Linked DNA regions of Anolis sagrei. The protein of the gene in region 2 purifies or fractionates together with the protein of the main gene of each other region. This does not show direct contact. Links are inferred from orthologs where the notes say so. Each region holds a gene or a part of one and is shown on either strand. Other genes may lie near its edges.

What was found. Proteins that work in one complex are often made in the same cells at the same time.
Region 1: the proteins of ATP11A (region 2) and TMEM30A purify together in Homo sapiens (co-immunoprecipitation; 4 studies listed by BioGRID and IntAct, with this or other methods). This does not show direct contact. The link is inferred for Anolis sagrei from reciprocal best matches to the Homo sapiens genes ATP11A and TMEM30A.

What each region holds. Positions count from the first base shown.
Region 1 is NC_090021.1:110,955,839-110,963,395, reverse strand, and holds the start of TMEM30A (cell cycle control protein 50A), read right to left. Parts: upstream 3,030-7,557; 5' UTR 2,876-3,029; coding exon 2,564-2,875; intron 1-2,563. UniProt on the Homo sapiens protein: Accessory component of a P4-ATPase flippase complex which catalyzes the hydrolysis of ATP coupled to the transport of aminophospholipids from the outer to the inner leaflet of various membranes and ensures the maintenance of asymmetric distribution of phospholipids.
Region 2 is NC_090023.1:108,981,896-108,989,057, forward strand, and holds the start of ATP11A (phospholipid-transporting ATPase IH), read right to left. Parts: upstream 3,015-7,162; 5' UTR 2,935-3,014; coding exon 2,758-2,934; intron 1-2,757. UniProt on the Homo sapiens protein: Catalytic component of a P4-ATPase flippase complex which catalyzes the hydrolysis of ATP coupled to the transport of aminophospholipids, phosphatidylserines (PS) and phosphatidylethanolamines (PE), from the outer to the inner leaflet of the plasma membrane.

The DNA of each region.
Region 1 (7,557 bases), on a different chromosome or scaffold from region 2:
CCTCCTTGCCGAAAGAGTGTCGAAAAACCACAAATCCCTAAATTCCATAGGATTGGACTAAGGCAGCACTTTAACTGTCATGGTACAATTATATAGAATGAGAGCTGTAGTTTTACAAGGTCTTTAGTCTCTTCGGCCATATGCTGCTGCCGCTTTACTAATCTACAAATCCCAGAACATTACAGCATTGAGTTCAAGTGGTGTCAAACTGCATTCATTTTATAGTGTAGAGGCACCCTTTGTCCTTGTTCACTTGTTGCTTTTAGTCCTGGAAAGGGGGGGGGGAGGGGGAGAGAGATGGTGGAGGAGAGTAGCAACAATCTAGGTGCACTTACACTATTGAATTGACACAGTTTGACACCACTTTCACTGCCACACCTCAATGCTATGGAAGATGTACTTTCAAAGATCTTTGGCCTTCCCTGGCAAATAATCCTGTTGTTTCTCCAAACTACAACTCCCAGTATCCCATAGAATAGAGCTATGGCTGTCCAAGTGGTGTCAGTATAGGTGCACTCAAGGGTATATTTTTCATCTTCTCATCATTACTGAGATACACTTTAATGAGTAGGTATTGAGCAGAGATCCTCAAACTTGAAGAAAACATGAAATAATTCCTATACACACTGAACTATTTTATTTGTAGTGTAAAAAAAGGACAATAAAATATTTAAAACGAAGAAAAACTTTATTTTTATACCCCGCCTCCATCCCCCCGAAGGGACCCAGGGCGGCTTACATGGGGCCAAGCCCAAACACATATTGGCAGTATTTCAATGGAAAGTGTGGGCCTGCTTCTAGCTGATGAGATAGTCAAGTTAATTAAGATCATTGTTGTTGAGTGCCTTCCAGTTGTTTCAGATTTAGGGTCATGCTAAGGCTGGGAGCTGAGTAAATTACCTTGGAGGGTCACATCCAGCCGTGGACCTTAGTTTGGGGAGGTAGAGCGTGTGCACCCTACTTGAAATTTTGTTGCTGCCTTTTGCAGAATTCTGGGCTTTGTAGTTTAGTGAGGCCTTAGACCAGTGGTTCTCAACCTATGGGTCCCCAGATGTTGTGGCCTTCAACTCCCAGAAATCCCAACAGCTGGTAAATTGGCTTGGATTTCTGGGAGTTGTAGGCCAAAACACCTTGGGACCTATTGGTTGAGAACTACTGCTTTAGCCTATAAAGCCCTAAATGGTTTTGGTCCAGCTTACCTATTTATTTATTTACGACATTTATATGCCACCCTTCTCACCCCGAAGGGGACTCAGAGTGGCTTACAAGTCATATGTACATACAACATACTATATTATTAGTATAGTACTAATACATCATTCATAATATTATTATATAATATTATATTGTTGCTGGGGGAGGGGCTCTGATGTACATATCTCTCTCTATGAACCATCTCAGAGCTTAAGATCCTCTGGGGAGGTCCTGCTCTCGGTCCCTCCTCCCCCGTAGGTGCAGTTGTTGGGCATGAGAGACAGGGCCTTCTCAGTGGTAGCCCCTTGGTTGTGTAACTCCCTTCCTAGTAACATCATATTAGCCCCCTCTCTCCTTTAGGGGAAAAACTCTCTTTTCTTTTAAGGGGAAAACTGAAAACTTGGATATGGGACCAAGTGTTCAGATAATTTATGAGTGCAATAAGTGAAAGTGGAATGGTGCTCTGGTTGGGAATTTGGCTTAAGTAGCTCAGAAGAAAAAAGAAAGGACCTGAGGCTGAGAAGGTGGCTAACAGTAGCGATGATGTAGGGTTTTCTTACCCTTGGCCTTCCAGAGCTGTTGGACTTCATCGCATTTCTTTGTATGAACCCACACAATCTCTTTGATCATCTGGAGAGGCCCTGTTCGCACCCCTGCCTCCTTCGCAGGCGCGATTGGTGAGGACAAGGGAGAGGGCCTTCTCGGTGGTGGCCCTCCGAATCTGGAACTCACTTCCCAAGGACATCAGGCATGCCCTAACATTGGCAGTCTTTAGGAGGAGCCTGAAAACGTGGCTGTTCCAGTGTGCCTTCCCAGAATAAGGAAAATTCCCAGAAATATGTCCTCAGGGTGCACTTTAGGATTGACTGCGCTCCCTCATCTCTTTTAAAACCCTATACCAGATATATCCTACCTCGTTCATGCCCAGCGCTTATTTTTTTAATTTTTTAACTCTTACATTTGACCTGGCCACAGGTATTTAAATCCTTATGTGTTATTGTTTATATGTGATTTAGTATTTATTTGTCTTGTTTTTTACTCGTGTTCTATTTTGAAATGGTCATATGGCTGATCAAATAAATAAATAAATATTATTATTATTATTATATGTGATTTATATTAATTGTATTGTATTTATTGCTTTTGGTTTATTGATGTGTTGTTGGGCTTGGCCTCATGTAAGCCGCTCCAAGTCTCTTGGGGAGATGGTGGCGGGGTAGAAATAAGGTTCATTATTCTTATTATTATCTCCCAGAGTCCCTGGCCGTTGGCCAAGCCAGCCGGGGCTTCTGGGAGTTGAAGTCCAAACAAGGTGGCGGACCAAACGTCAGAGCCGAGCAAGGGGCGACGCGGGCAGGGAGCTGTTTACCTCATACTCGCGGATGTTGTTGGAGGTGACGAAGATGCCGATGCCGATGGGGATGAAGATGAGGCCGATGACGAAGAAGGCGGGCAGGACGGTGCCGGCCGTGAGGATGGGCTGCCAGGCCGGGAGGCGCTGCTGCTTGAAGGCCGTGTTGTCCGGCTTGCGGCTCTTGGCGGCGCCCACCGAGGACCGGGCCGCGCCGCCCAAGCCCCCGCCGCCGCCGCCGCTCCCCCCGGGCATGGAAGCCATCCCCGACGGGTGCCCGTCCGCTGCCGCCGCCGCCGCCTCCTCCTTCGCGTTGTAGTTCATAGCCATGGAGGCGGGGGAGGGGGAGGAGGGCCGCGCGAGAGGCGGAACAGGAAGCGCCGCCAGCAACGGCGACAACTGACACTGGCCACCCGCCGCGCGCGCCGCGCTGTATAAGGGCCGCGACTGCGCCTGCGCCAACAACGCCCAAACAGCAGCAACAGCAGCAGCCCTCCCCTCCTTCCGGGCTCCTCAACACCTCCCACATAGCCCTCGACGCCGTGCGCAGGCGCAGTACGCTGCCAGGACCCTGCGTCGTCTCCTTTTATTACTTAGCTCGCCGCTAGGATACGTTCCACTCCTCCTCGCTCACCCCGCCCTGCGGCGTTCGGAGGAGGATTCGCTCGGGGCCACTTGCGCGCATGCGCACTGGGAAGGAGGCGAGACCCGAGAGAAGCCTCCCACAAACATCAAAACATCCGGGTAACGTCCTTGCAGACGGACAATTCTCTCACACCAGAAGCGACTTACAGTTTCTCAAGTCGCTCCTCATATGAAAAAAATTGGAGATGAATTCGTATTTTAATTGAACACGGCTAAGATTTATTGATTATTGCAGTGGTTCTCAACCTGGGGTCCCCAGATGTTTTTGGCCTACAATTCCCAGAAATCCTAACAGCTGGTAAACTGGCTGGGATTTCTGAGAGTTGTAGGCCAAAAACATCTGGGGACCCAAGGTTGAGAACCACTGGATTATTGTTTTAAAATCTTATTTCTGCGCTGTTTTATGGTTTGGTATTTAGGCGTTATATGCGTTTTTCTTGGATTTGTACTGTTTTAAGATGTTGGAAGCCGCTTTGGGTCCCTTGGTGGAAGAAAAGCGGGATACAATAAAGATATTATTATTATTATTATTATTATTATTATTATTAGGGTTTTTTATTTATGTATATCCTGCTTTATCTCTCCATACAGAGACTCAAAGTGGCTCACCATCAAAAACATCACAACTTAAAATATACGCAGTGGGTTAAACCGCTCTGTTGCCTTAGACCTTAAATCTTAGCCCAGCCCTAAAATATATTTATTTATGTATTTATTTATTTATCATACTAGCCATCCCCAGCCACACGTTACTGTGGCCCAGTCTGGTGATCTGGAAAATAAAGTAATGCGAAAGTGTTCTCATTGTGGGTAATCAGTATTTCTTGCTGTTTCTTTGTCATTGTTGATGTGGAGAGGGTCTGGTTTGCCTACTCTGGAACATGCAACATATAATTGTCAATCTTTAGGGGTCCCTTTCAAATCTATGATACTATATCTCTGTGTGTGTGAATCATATCTATCAATATCTATGGCTGGATGGCTCTTTGTCAGGAGGGCTTTGATTACTTTTTCTTGCCCTGGTGAAGGGAGTTGGACTGGATGGACTTAAGTATTTTCTGTTGGACATGGGGGTTCTTATGTGGGAAGTTTCCCCCAAATCTGTCGTTGGTAGGGTTCAGAATGCTCTTTGATTGTAGGTGAAATATAAATCCCAGTAACTACAACTCCCGAATGTCAAGGTCTATTTCCCCCAAACTCCATCTGTGTTCATATTTGGGCATATGGAATATTCGTGCCAAGTTTGGTCCAGATCCATCACTGTTTGAGTCCACAGTGCTCTCTGGATGTAGGTGAACTACATCTCCAATACTCAAGGTCAATACCCACCAAACCCTTCTAGTGTTTTCTGTTGGTCATGGGAGTCTTGTGTGCCATGTTTGGTTCAACTCCATCGTTGGTGGAGTTCAGAGTGCTCTTTGATTGTGGATGAACTATAAATCCCAGCAACTACAACTCCCAAATGACAAAATCAATTTTTTTTGAGTGAAGGACATACATTGGGTTGTTAGATGTCTTGCGTCCAAATTTGGTGTCAATTCGTCCAGTGGTTTTTGAGTTCTGTGAATACCAAAAACGAACATTACATTTTTATTTATATAGATTTGTACCCTGCCCTTCTCAACCCCGAGGGGGACTCAGAGCAGCCTCACATATTGGCAACTATTCAATGCCTTAAAATAACATAACAATTGGTAAACGTCTGCATTAAATACCAGAGAGTTAAAATATCTAAAAACAATAACATCAATGGTTATTATTGTTAATTATTAATTATTAAAATATTAAACCCCTTCTTAAATAATCTGTATTTTTATATTTTAGGTATTTTTGTTTATATTATTGTTGCTTGTCTTTATTATTATTTATCTTGATTGTTGTCATTTATTTATCATTTATATCCCACTTTTTCTCTCTTAAAAGAGATTAACAATGATAAAAAATATCATTAAAATGTACAATCTAAAACCGAAAAGACATAATGGTAAACATTAAAATAGAATTAAACGTAAGAGTATTAAGAATCAATAGATGGAATAGTACCATAAAGATTTAAAACAATTAAAATAATTAAAAATCTGTTTAAATATGTAAGCACCCTTTCAAAGCCTTCAATCTTCTTTCAAAGATTGGTGCAATGCTAGTCGCAACTATTTTGCATGTGTCATAATGTAGCCATTATAAGTGGAAACCACCTTGTGGTTCACAGGTTCATAGAACTACAGAGTTGCAAGACAGCACATGGGCCACCCATCCAACTTCATTCAACCACGCAGGAATACACAATCATTCCCAACAGATGACCACCCAGGCTCTGCTTAACAACCTCCTGAGAAAGACTCCACCAAGCTCCAAGGCAGCATATTCTACTGCCAAACAGCTCTTACCAACAGGAAGTTCTTCCTAATGTTTAAGTGGAGTCACTTTTTCTGCAATTTGAATCCACTGCTCTGTGTCCTGATCTCCAGAGCATCAGAAAACAAGACTGTCCTTCCTCAATATTTAGACATGGCTATCATGTCCCCTCTCAGCCTTGCTTTTCTTCAAGCTAAACATACCCAACTCCCTCAGCCGTTGCTCATAGGGCTTGGTTTCCAAGCCTTTGATCATTTCTGTTGGATGGGAAGATGCTGGTTTCTCTGAACCATAATTAGGCAGGTATTCGATTCACTGTGACATTATGCAAGCCCTTGAGGGCAAAATGCTTCTCTTGGCAGTGGAAAGAGGCCCGCATGTGCACCCTTTCCAAAGCGGTACTTGCATGCCCCTCAGGGCTCATCAGCCTCGAAGCACAAATCTATAAGAAGGAATATCATCCACTGTGGCTGTTGCCCGTGGGCTGAGATGGGACAAACAACTCCAAAAGCTGAAGATCCTGTCTTTATCATGCAGGTCAGAAAATGCAAGGGAAAGACATCCAAAAAAAAGGAGCATGCGTTGCTATGGCTTGTGACTGCAATCCGTGCCTAATATCCTGTGGCAGCTACCAACTAGAAATGTATTTCTTTAAGTTTGTGGTTCCCATAAAGGAGAAAAGGACTTTAAGTATGTATATAAACCCATTTTTTCTAGTTCCAACAGACCTCACTACCTCTGAGGATGCTTGCCATAGATGCAGGCGAAATGTCAGGAGAGAATGCCTCTAGACCATGGCCACAAAGCCCGAAAAAACCTACAACACCCCAGTGATTCCGGCCATGAAAGCCTTCAACAATACTTTTGACAAGACTTTAAGTATGTTTCTCCTCAGTGTAAGAATCTCTGAAAATTGGTCAGTTTTTCCTATGCTGCCTCACAGCCATGTAGTGACTGGTAGGAGGGGTAGCTGAGAGATCACCCATCAGTAGCTACTATAGTTGTAGACAGCTCTTGCTTGGGTATCATGTCCTGCTGCTTATTTATTTATTTATTTACTACATTTATATGCCACCCTTCTCACCCCGAAGGGGACTCAGGACTCAGAGAGGCTTACAAGATATAATTGTTTCAGATGTGTGCACTATTTTCTTTGGACTTCATTCTAGTTTTGATGTAATACAATTAAGACACAAGGAGTCATTCAATAGGTGTTGCTATGGTCGGGCAGCTAGGCCGTTGAAGTACTCTCAGCTCGAGTACATGCTATGGCCGTGTAGCTGTTGTAGCTGGAGGCCATATACAGGCAAATATTTCTTTAGGGCGGCATTTGAATTTTGCTGATCGAAGTTCTTCTTGATTTTATATGTAATGTATCACATGTGTATATTGTAAACCTCTCCGAGCCTAAATAAATAAATAAATATGCTCTGAGGATGCCAGCCATAGCTGCAAGCAAAACACCAGTAGAGAGTGTCTAGACCAGTGGTTCCCAACCCCTTTTTTTACCATGTTACACCTAAGCATCTCTAAAATCCTGATCACCACCCCCCCCCCCCCCCCGGTGACACATAATTCTTATTATGTAAAAAGCGAACCCCTGTGACCTTGGAGGAAGCCTGAAAGGCCATTAACTTGCTCTAAACAAGCTTCCAAAGAACATGGCATCCATGAAAGAGAAAAATAGAAGAACAAATTGAATTGAGAATTCAGGGAAACTTTTAAGTGTCCAATTTCATTGCATGTATTTGGTGAGAAAATACAAGAATATGCTCTCACTAGATGTTAATTTTCTTGCGCCTGAATTTTTTTTTAAATTATACAAAAATACTGACTTACCTATGAAAGTAATAATTGTGCTTTTCTGTGCTCTTCTGCTGTCTAGTTAACTCCATGCTCTCAACACTCTATGAGTGGACTCTCCCCTTCTCCATTGTCACCAGCTGATTGCCATGTAAATTCTGATTTTAATTTTTAAAATGAATATGTTACAGTATGGAGCCCCCACTGGC
Region 2 (7,162 bases):
TAATTTGCCGCTATGTGTGTCTAGGGAGGGAGGCTTAAACCCACATCGTAATATCTTTAAATTGGACTAGCTTCCATTATGAAGGCAATGGCAAACCCACTCGGAATAGATCTTGCCAAGAAAACTCCATGGCAGGTTCATCTAAGGCAAACAACAACAACTGCATCCATTACCTTAAGTAGTCACTCAAAAATATTTTCTCTCAGAATTATGCTTCACTGGGACATGCACCTGCTTTTAGGATAAAACGATGGCCTTTGAAAGCTATCCACCTAGCCTGAATCTAGGATGTGCACCTAGTATTGCTGCACATTTTCCACAACTACTGAGATGGTTTCCTTAATTCACAATTTACAGGGATTGAAGAAACCACTGAATCAGGACGATGTAGTGGTTTACTTTGACTCTGGCTTGATTCCCTGCTTGCCCATGGAAAACCACGGGGCGGGTCACACTCTTTAGTTCCCCCAAAACACCCTGAGAAGGATCATGTTAAGCCAGAAATGACTTGAAGGCACACAATAACAACCAGGAGAAACCATCAGCAACAACACATGAAGTGTAATTCCGAGTGCTGCTAGGCAAGCATGGGCAAATTTGGGCCCTCCGGGTGTTTTGGACCTCAACTCTCACCATTCCTAACAGCCTCGGGCCTCTTCCTTTTCCCCCTCAGCTGCTTAAGTGGCTGAGGGGGAAAAAGAAAGGGCCTGAAGCTGTTAGGAATGGTGGGAGTTGAGGTCCAAAACACTTGGAGGGCCCAAAATTTGCCCATGCCTGGCTAGCCTATTATTTTTCCATCCACAAACTCCAGCAAGTTCAGTCATATTCTGAGATGAACTGTTTATTTCACACCCTCAGCCATGCCTGTGCAATTTGCTTCAAATGTTTTTCATCCTTCTGCAAAAAGTACAGAAGGGACCGCAAGAGGAAGCGCTGCTGACAGGAGCAAGAGATGGTTTTTTTTAAAAAGGAAGGACTGAAAATAAAATCTGACATGAAACTATCTAGGTGAAAGTAAACCTACAAAGGCATTGTGCCTTCGAATTGCCTGTGGACTTATGGCAATCCTATACATTCCAGAGGATTGCCTTAAGCATTGATGACCGGCCTGGAGTAATGAAGGACCTTGTCGCTCATATGCCTAAAGTCCTAAACGAATACTGTTAAAATATACCTCACAACCTCTGAGGATGCCTGCCATAGATGCAGACGAAACGTCCGAAGGAAATGCTTCTGGAACATGGCCATACAGCCTGGAAACTTCACAGCAACCCACTGTTAACACTTAGTTATATGCCTTAAGGAAGGAAAACAGCGGTGACTTTGGCTGTTCTTTCCTCTGAAATAGTGCCTCGCATCCCAGCACCAACCCAGGCTGACCCTGCTTAACTCCCAAGATCAGAAAGGATCTGGAGCCTTCGAGGTAATGATATGGGCATATGTTCGGGTAGGAGCCCCCAATGGCACAGCGGGTTAAACCTCTGAGCTGTCGAACTTGCTGAGTGAAAGGTTGGCAGTTCAAATCCAGGGAGTGGGGTGAGATCCCGCTGTTAGCACCAGCTTCTGCCAACCTATCAGTTTGGAAACCCAGCAACAGCAAGAGTATCCCTCTGGACAGCTGAACCAGGAAATTCCAACTGGATGGCCCCCCACGAGAGTCTTCCTCCAGGGGCAAACCAAGAATGGGCAATTTGGAAGTCCCTGAACAGACTCAGAAGTGGAGTGGGCAGATCAAAAGACAACCTGGCAAAATGGCAAGACCTAAAAGAATCTCACACCTTATGCAACTGCGGAGCAGACCAGACAACTCCACATCTGTATGCTTGTCCACTATGCCCTGCCTCATGTACAGAGGAAGAATTCTTGGAGGCTACAGACAATGCCACTGCTGTTGCCCGTTTTTGGTCAAAAGATATTTAGCCACCTGTGCTCCTTCTATTTTTATCGGTTTTATACTAACTTATGGGATGCTTTTGATACAAAATAAATAAATAATTTTGAAAACATGCATGGAGACCACTTCGGCGCTCCATGCAGTCATGCCGGCTGCATGACCTTGGAGGCGTCTACAGAAAACGCCGGATCTTTGGCTTAGAAATGGAGATGAGCACCATCCCCCAGAATCCAACACGACTAAACTTAATATCAAGGGAAACCTTTACCTTTACTAAGTTCGGGTCGTGTAGGGCTCTGAGTGTTGGAGGAAGACACAAAAAGGGAGAGTTGGGGGTGGTTTAAATGGGGTTTTCTTGCTGGGTTGTTGTAGGTTTTGTGGCTGTATGGCTATGTTCTAGAAACATTCTCTCCTGACGTTTCGCCTGCATCTATGGCAGGCATCCTCAGAGGTTGTGCGCTCCCGTTTCTTGGCAGGATGGAGTTGGACTGGATGGCCCCACGAGGTCTCTCCCAACTCTAGGATTTTAGGGTTGGCATCCTGGTGGAGCCATGCGCGAGGCACTCTCTCTCAGCCTCAGAGGAAAGCATCCCAAGGCATCCCCGCCTGCAGTCCCACGGGATCTCTCTCTCTCTCTCTCTCTCTCTCCCTCTCCCACGGGACTGTTCCTGGGGCGCCCAAGGAAGGCGAGAGCGGGAGGGCAGGCTGCGCTCCGCTCCTCGGGGATGTCAACTGTGGATCAGGCGCAGCCTCTGGGCCTGCCCTCCCTCCCTCCCTCCCTCCTCCCCTTCCACCCGGCCGGGATGTGGCGGGACGAAGCCGCGTTGGGGTGAAAGGAAAGCGGAAAGAAAGGGGCGGCTTACGTATCTGTGGATGAGTGCCCTGAGGCGGCTGCAGTCCATGGCGGCGGGGCGGCGGCGGCGGCGGGCAGCTCCTTCTCCGTCTCCCCGGTCTCCGTCTCCTTCTCCTCCTCGCCGCCGCCACTGGCTCCGCTCGGGGTCTCCCGGGCTGGCTTCCACGCAGGGCTCCTCCTGCCTCATGGCAGCCCCCGGAGGAGCGGAGGAGCCGGCCGAGGAGGAGGCGAGAGCAGCAGCAGCAGCAGCAGCAGCATCGCCCTCCCTCCCTCCCTCCCTCGCTCGCTCTCGCCTGCACCCCGAGCTGCCTCCGAGGAGTCCGCCGCCTCGCCTCGCTTCGCGCCCCGCCACTCAGTCCAGCGGGCGCCCCGCTCGCCTCCCCATGTGCGCCCCCAAGAGTAGCAAGGAAGCGGAGGAGCAGGGAGGGACCACGGGCGGGGAAGGGGAGCCGCTCTCCTCCGGGAAACTTCGCCCGCCGCCGCCGCCCGGGAAGAGGCGCTCCGCACGGCTCCTGCTCCTGCTGCTACTCTCCTCCTCCTCCTCCTCCTCCTCCCGCTCGGCCGCCTCGCCTCGCCTGTCCCTCGGGTTCGTCTCCCTTTGATCCTCCCCTGCTCAGCCACCCCGCTCACGTCACGCCGCTCCGGCGAGCATGCGCACTCCGCTTCCCCCAGTCACCACAACACACCCCCTTTGCTCTCTTCCTTCTTTCATTCCTTTCCTTACCTTCTCCCCCCCCCCCTTCCTGCTTCCTCCCTCCTTTTCCTCCCTTCCTATATCCCTTCCTTACTTTCCTTCTTCCCCTCTTTCCTCCTTCCCTCCTTCCTTCCTTTCCTGTTTCCTACCTCCTTTTCTTTTCTTCCTATATTCCTTCCTTTCCTTTTCCCTTTCTTCCCTTTTCCCCCTTTCCTTCCTTCTTTCCTGTTTCCTCCCTCCTTCCTTCCTATATGCCTTCCTTCTTTCCTGTTTCCTCCCTCCTTCCTATATGCCTTCTTTCCTATATATTCCTTCCTTTCCTTTTCCCCTCCTTCCTTCCTTCCCCTTTCTTTCCTTCTTTCCTCTATGCCTTCATTCCTTTCCTTCCCCTCATTTCTTCTTTCCTTTCTTTCTTTCTTTCCTCCCTCCCTCCCTCCTTTCTTTCCTGATTGCTCCCTCCCTTCCTTTCTGACCTTTTTATATTCCTTAATTCCTTTCCTTCATTCCCTCTTTTCTTCCATTTCCCCCCTTTCCTGGTTCCTCCTTCCTTCCTTTCCTGCTTCTACTCACACTTCTTTCCTATATTCCATCATTTCTTTCTTCCCCTTCTTCCTTCCTTTCCTTAATTTCTTCTTTCCTTTCCTTCTCCGCTTTTCCTGTTTCCCCCTCCCTTCCTTGCCTCTTTTCTTTCTTTCTTCCTTCCCTTCTTCCTCAGTCCCTCATTTTCCTTCTTCCTTCCTTTCCCGTTTCCTCCCTCCCTTTCCTTCATTCCTATATTCATTTCTTCCTTTCCTTCTCTCCCTCCTTCCTTCCTTTCCTGTTTCCTTCCTCCCATCTTTTCCTTTCTTCCTATATTCATTTCTTCCTTTCCTTCTCTTCTTCCTTCCTTCCTTTCCTGCTTCCTCTCTCCCTCATTTTCCTTCCTTCCTTCCTATATTTCTTCCTTTCCTTCTTCCCCTCCTTCCTTTCTTCCTTCCTTTCCTTCTCCCCCTTTCCTGTTTCCTCCCTCCTTTCCGTCTTCCCTCCTTCCTTCCCTCCCTCCTTTTCCTTCCTTCCTTCCTCCACCCCACTTCCTCCTCCTCCCCCTCCCCCTCCCCCTCATGAGCCCCTCCCGGGCAAGGCCTTGGGGGCGAAGTCGGGCCGAGCAGAAGGGGAAGGGCGCTTTGGCGGGAAGCGCGCCCTGGAAGGGAGACCTGACAAGAAGAGCCTTTTGTGTGTTGCGCTCTCTCTCTCTCTCTCTCTCTCTCTCTCTCTCTCTCTCTCTCTCAACCCCTGCATGCCGTTCGATGTTGCCATGGCAGCTGGAGTGTTACGATAGCGCTAGTGGAGAGTCGCGTGAGCAAGACGGGTCTGGAAAAATCGCCTGCCTAAAGCCTTGCCGCTGTTTTGCCCGCAGAGCTTCGAGGAGGCAGAACTCCGGAAGGCGAGGCTTCAGGGGAAGGGCAGGTGTGCCGCTCGGGGCCAAAGAAGGCGGCAGAGGGGCGGGCAGAGGCAGAGCAAAGCCCCCCTCGCCCGGGGCCCTTCCCTGGCAGCAGGTGCCTTGGCCCCTCCGCAGACTCAGAGCCACGGGCAAGGCTCCGCAGAGGGAGAGACTAGGGGTCCATCTAGACCAGGCGTGGGCAAACCTTCTAACTTGGGGGGCACATGCTAGCACTCCCTGCTTAAGAAGACTGGCTGCGCAGTGATGGAAGGAAGGGAAGAAGGAAAGAGAAATGGAAGGAAGGAGGAAAGGGAAGAAGGGAAGAATGGAAGGAGGAAGAGGGAGAGACAAAAGAAGGACAAAAGGGAAGGAAGGATGAAAGGGTGGAAGGAAAGGATGGAAGGAAAAAAGGAAGGAATGGAGGAAGAGAAGGATGGAAGGAGAAAGAGGGAGAGAAAGCAGGAGAGGGAAGAAGGAAGGAAAGAATAATAGAATCATCCAGTCCAACCCGCTACCAAGAAGCAGGAAAATTGCATTCAAACACCCCCAACAGATGGCCATCCAGAAGGACAAAAGGGAAGGAAAGAAAGGAGGGTGGAAGGGAAGGAGGGAGGAAGAGAAGGATGGAAGGAAGGAAAGAGCAAAGAGGGAAGGAAGGACAAAAGGCTGGAAGAGAATGGAGGGAGGAAGAAAGAGGGAAGAGAATGAGGAAAAAGAGAAGGAAGGACAAAAGGGAAGGAAGGAGAGGGAAGGAAGGAGGGAGGGAGGAAAGAGGGAAGGAAGGAAGGAAGGACAAAAGGGTGGAAGGGAAGGAAGGTGGGAGGAAGAAAAGAGGGAAGGAAGGAAAGAGGGAAGGAAGGACTCCAGGCCTGGATTTGTCCATACTTGATGTAGACTGAAGAATTAATGCAGTTTCACACAACTCAAACCACTATGGCACCAAGGGAGCTGCATTTTGCAAGGTCTTTAACCTTCTCTGCCCACAAGTACCGGTGCCTCACCAAGCCACAACTCCCATGGCTCCATAAGTCATGGCGGTTAAAGTGGTGTCAAACTGCATTCATTCAATGGACCTGAAGGTTGTTATCCTCACTACCTATTTTCCTGGAAGAAGTCATGCCTGTTGAACTCTGCTTGACAGATATAATAAATGATATATAAACCTCACTTGCCTAGTTTCCAGCAGGCCTCACAACCTAGGAAGATGCTTGCCATAGATGTGGGCGAAACGTCAGGAGAGAATGCTTTTGGAACATGGCCATAAAGCCTGGAAAACTCACAACAACACAGTGATTCCGGCCATGTAATGATGATGATGATGATGATGATAACAACGTTATTTATACCCCGCCACCATCTCCCGGAATGACTCGGGGTGGCTCACAAAGAACTCAAAGGTGCAAACACGCAATATACAAAAAGTTCAAAGGTAGCAAAACAAAGCAGCAACAACCAACATAAACATCACCCCCCCCCCGCCCCAATGAACGCCAATAAAATGCAACAATAGCTGCAGAATACAAAACGAACTGCCACAATCCCAAACTGGGTATAATTCTCAGATGAAAATAAGTTATTTACTAATTGCAAATATATACTGCTTGAAAATATCAGACAGAAAATACATTCACGATCACAGTACAGGTAGTCCCCAAGTTGCAAACAAGACAATTTCTGTAGGTTTGTTCTTAAATTGAATTTGCTTGTAAATTGGAACAGGTACCTTTTTTCAGTGTAACTCCAGTATATAGCTTTGGGTATCATAGGGAAGGGTTAACATCCTGTGGTATTTGTTTTGCTCACTGTGAAGATTTCACCTCACTTTCTGTCCTTGTGATAATTGGATTTTGACCAATTTGGCTTGTTGCGAAAATGAAGATTGGTGCTACAGCTTCAGTGGAGAGACCATTTCCCCATAATAACTCTTCTAGGAGTGAGCTTCCATTCCTAGTGGTAGATTTCTCTCACTTCCTGTTGTCTCACCCCCATTCTTAACTAGGAGTTGCTTGTAAGTCAGATGTTTGTAACTCAGTGACTGCCTGTATATGTTTCATGCTTCATACACATTGTTTTGAATTACACCATGCAACCTCTGTCATGAACTCAGCATGTTGGAGTAAAGATTTTTTAACTGGTCAGCCTTTACTGGAAGATAGAAATACTGATTTTTTTTCAGCCCACAAGGGCTTCAGCCTGGAGGGATCAACACACACAATCAAACTTCAAGTATAATATTATAACAATTTTCTTCCATAGTTAAAAAAAAGTGAAAAAGAAGATAATTTTTGTAGTTTCTTCAGG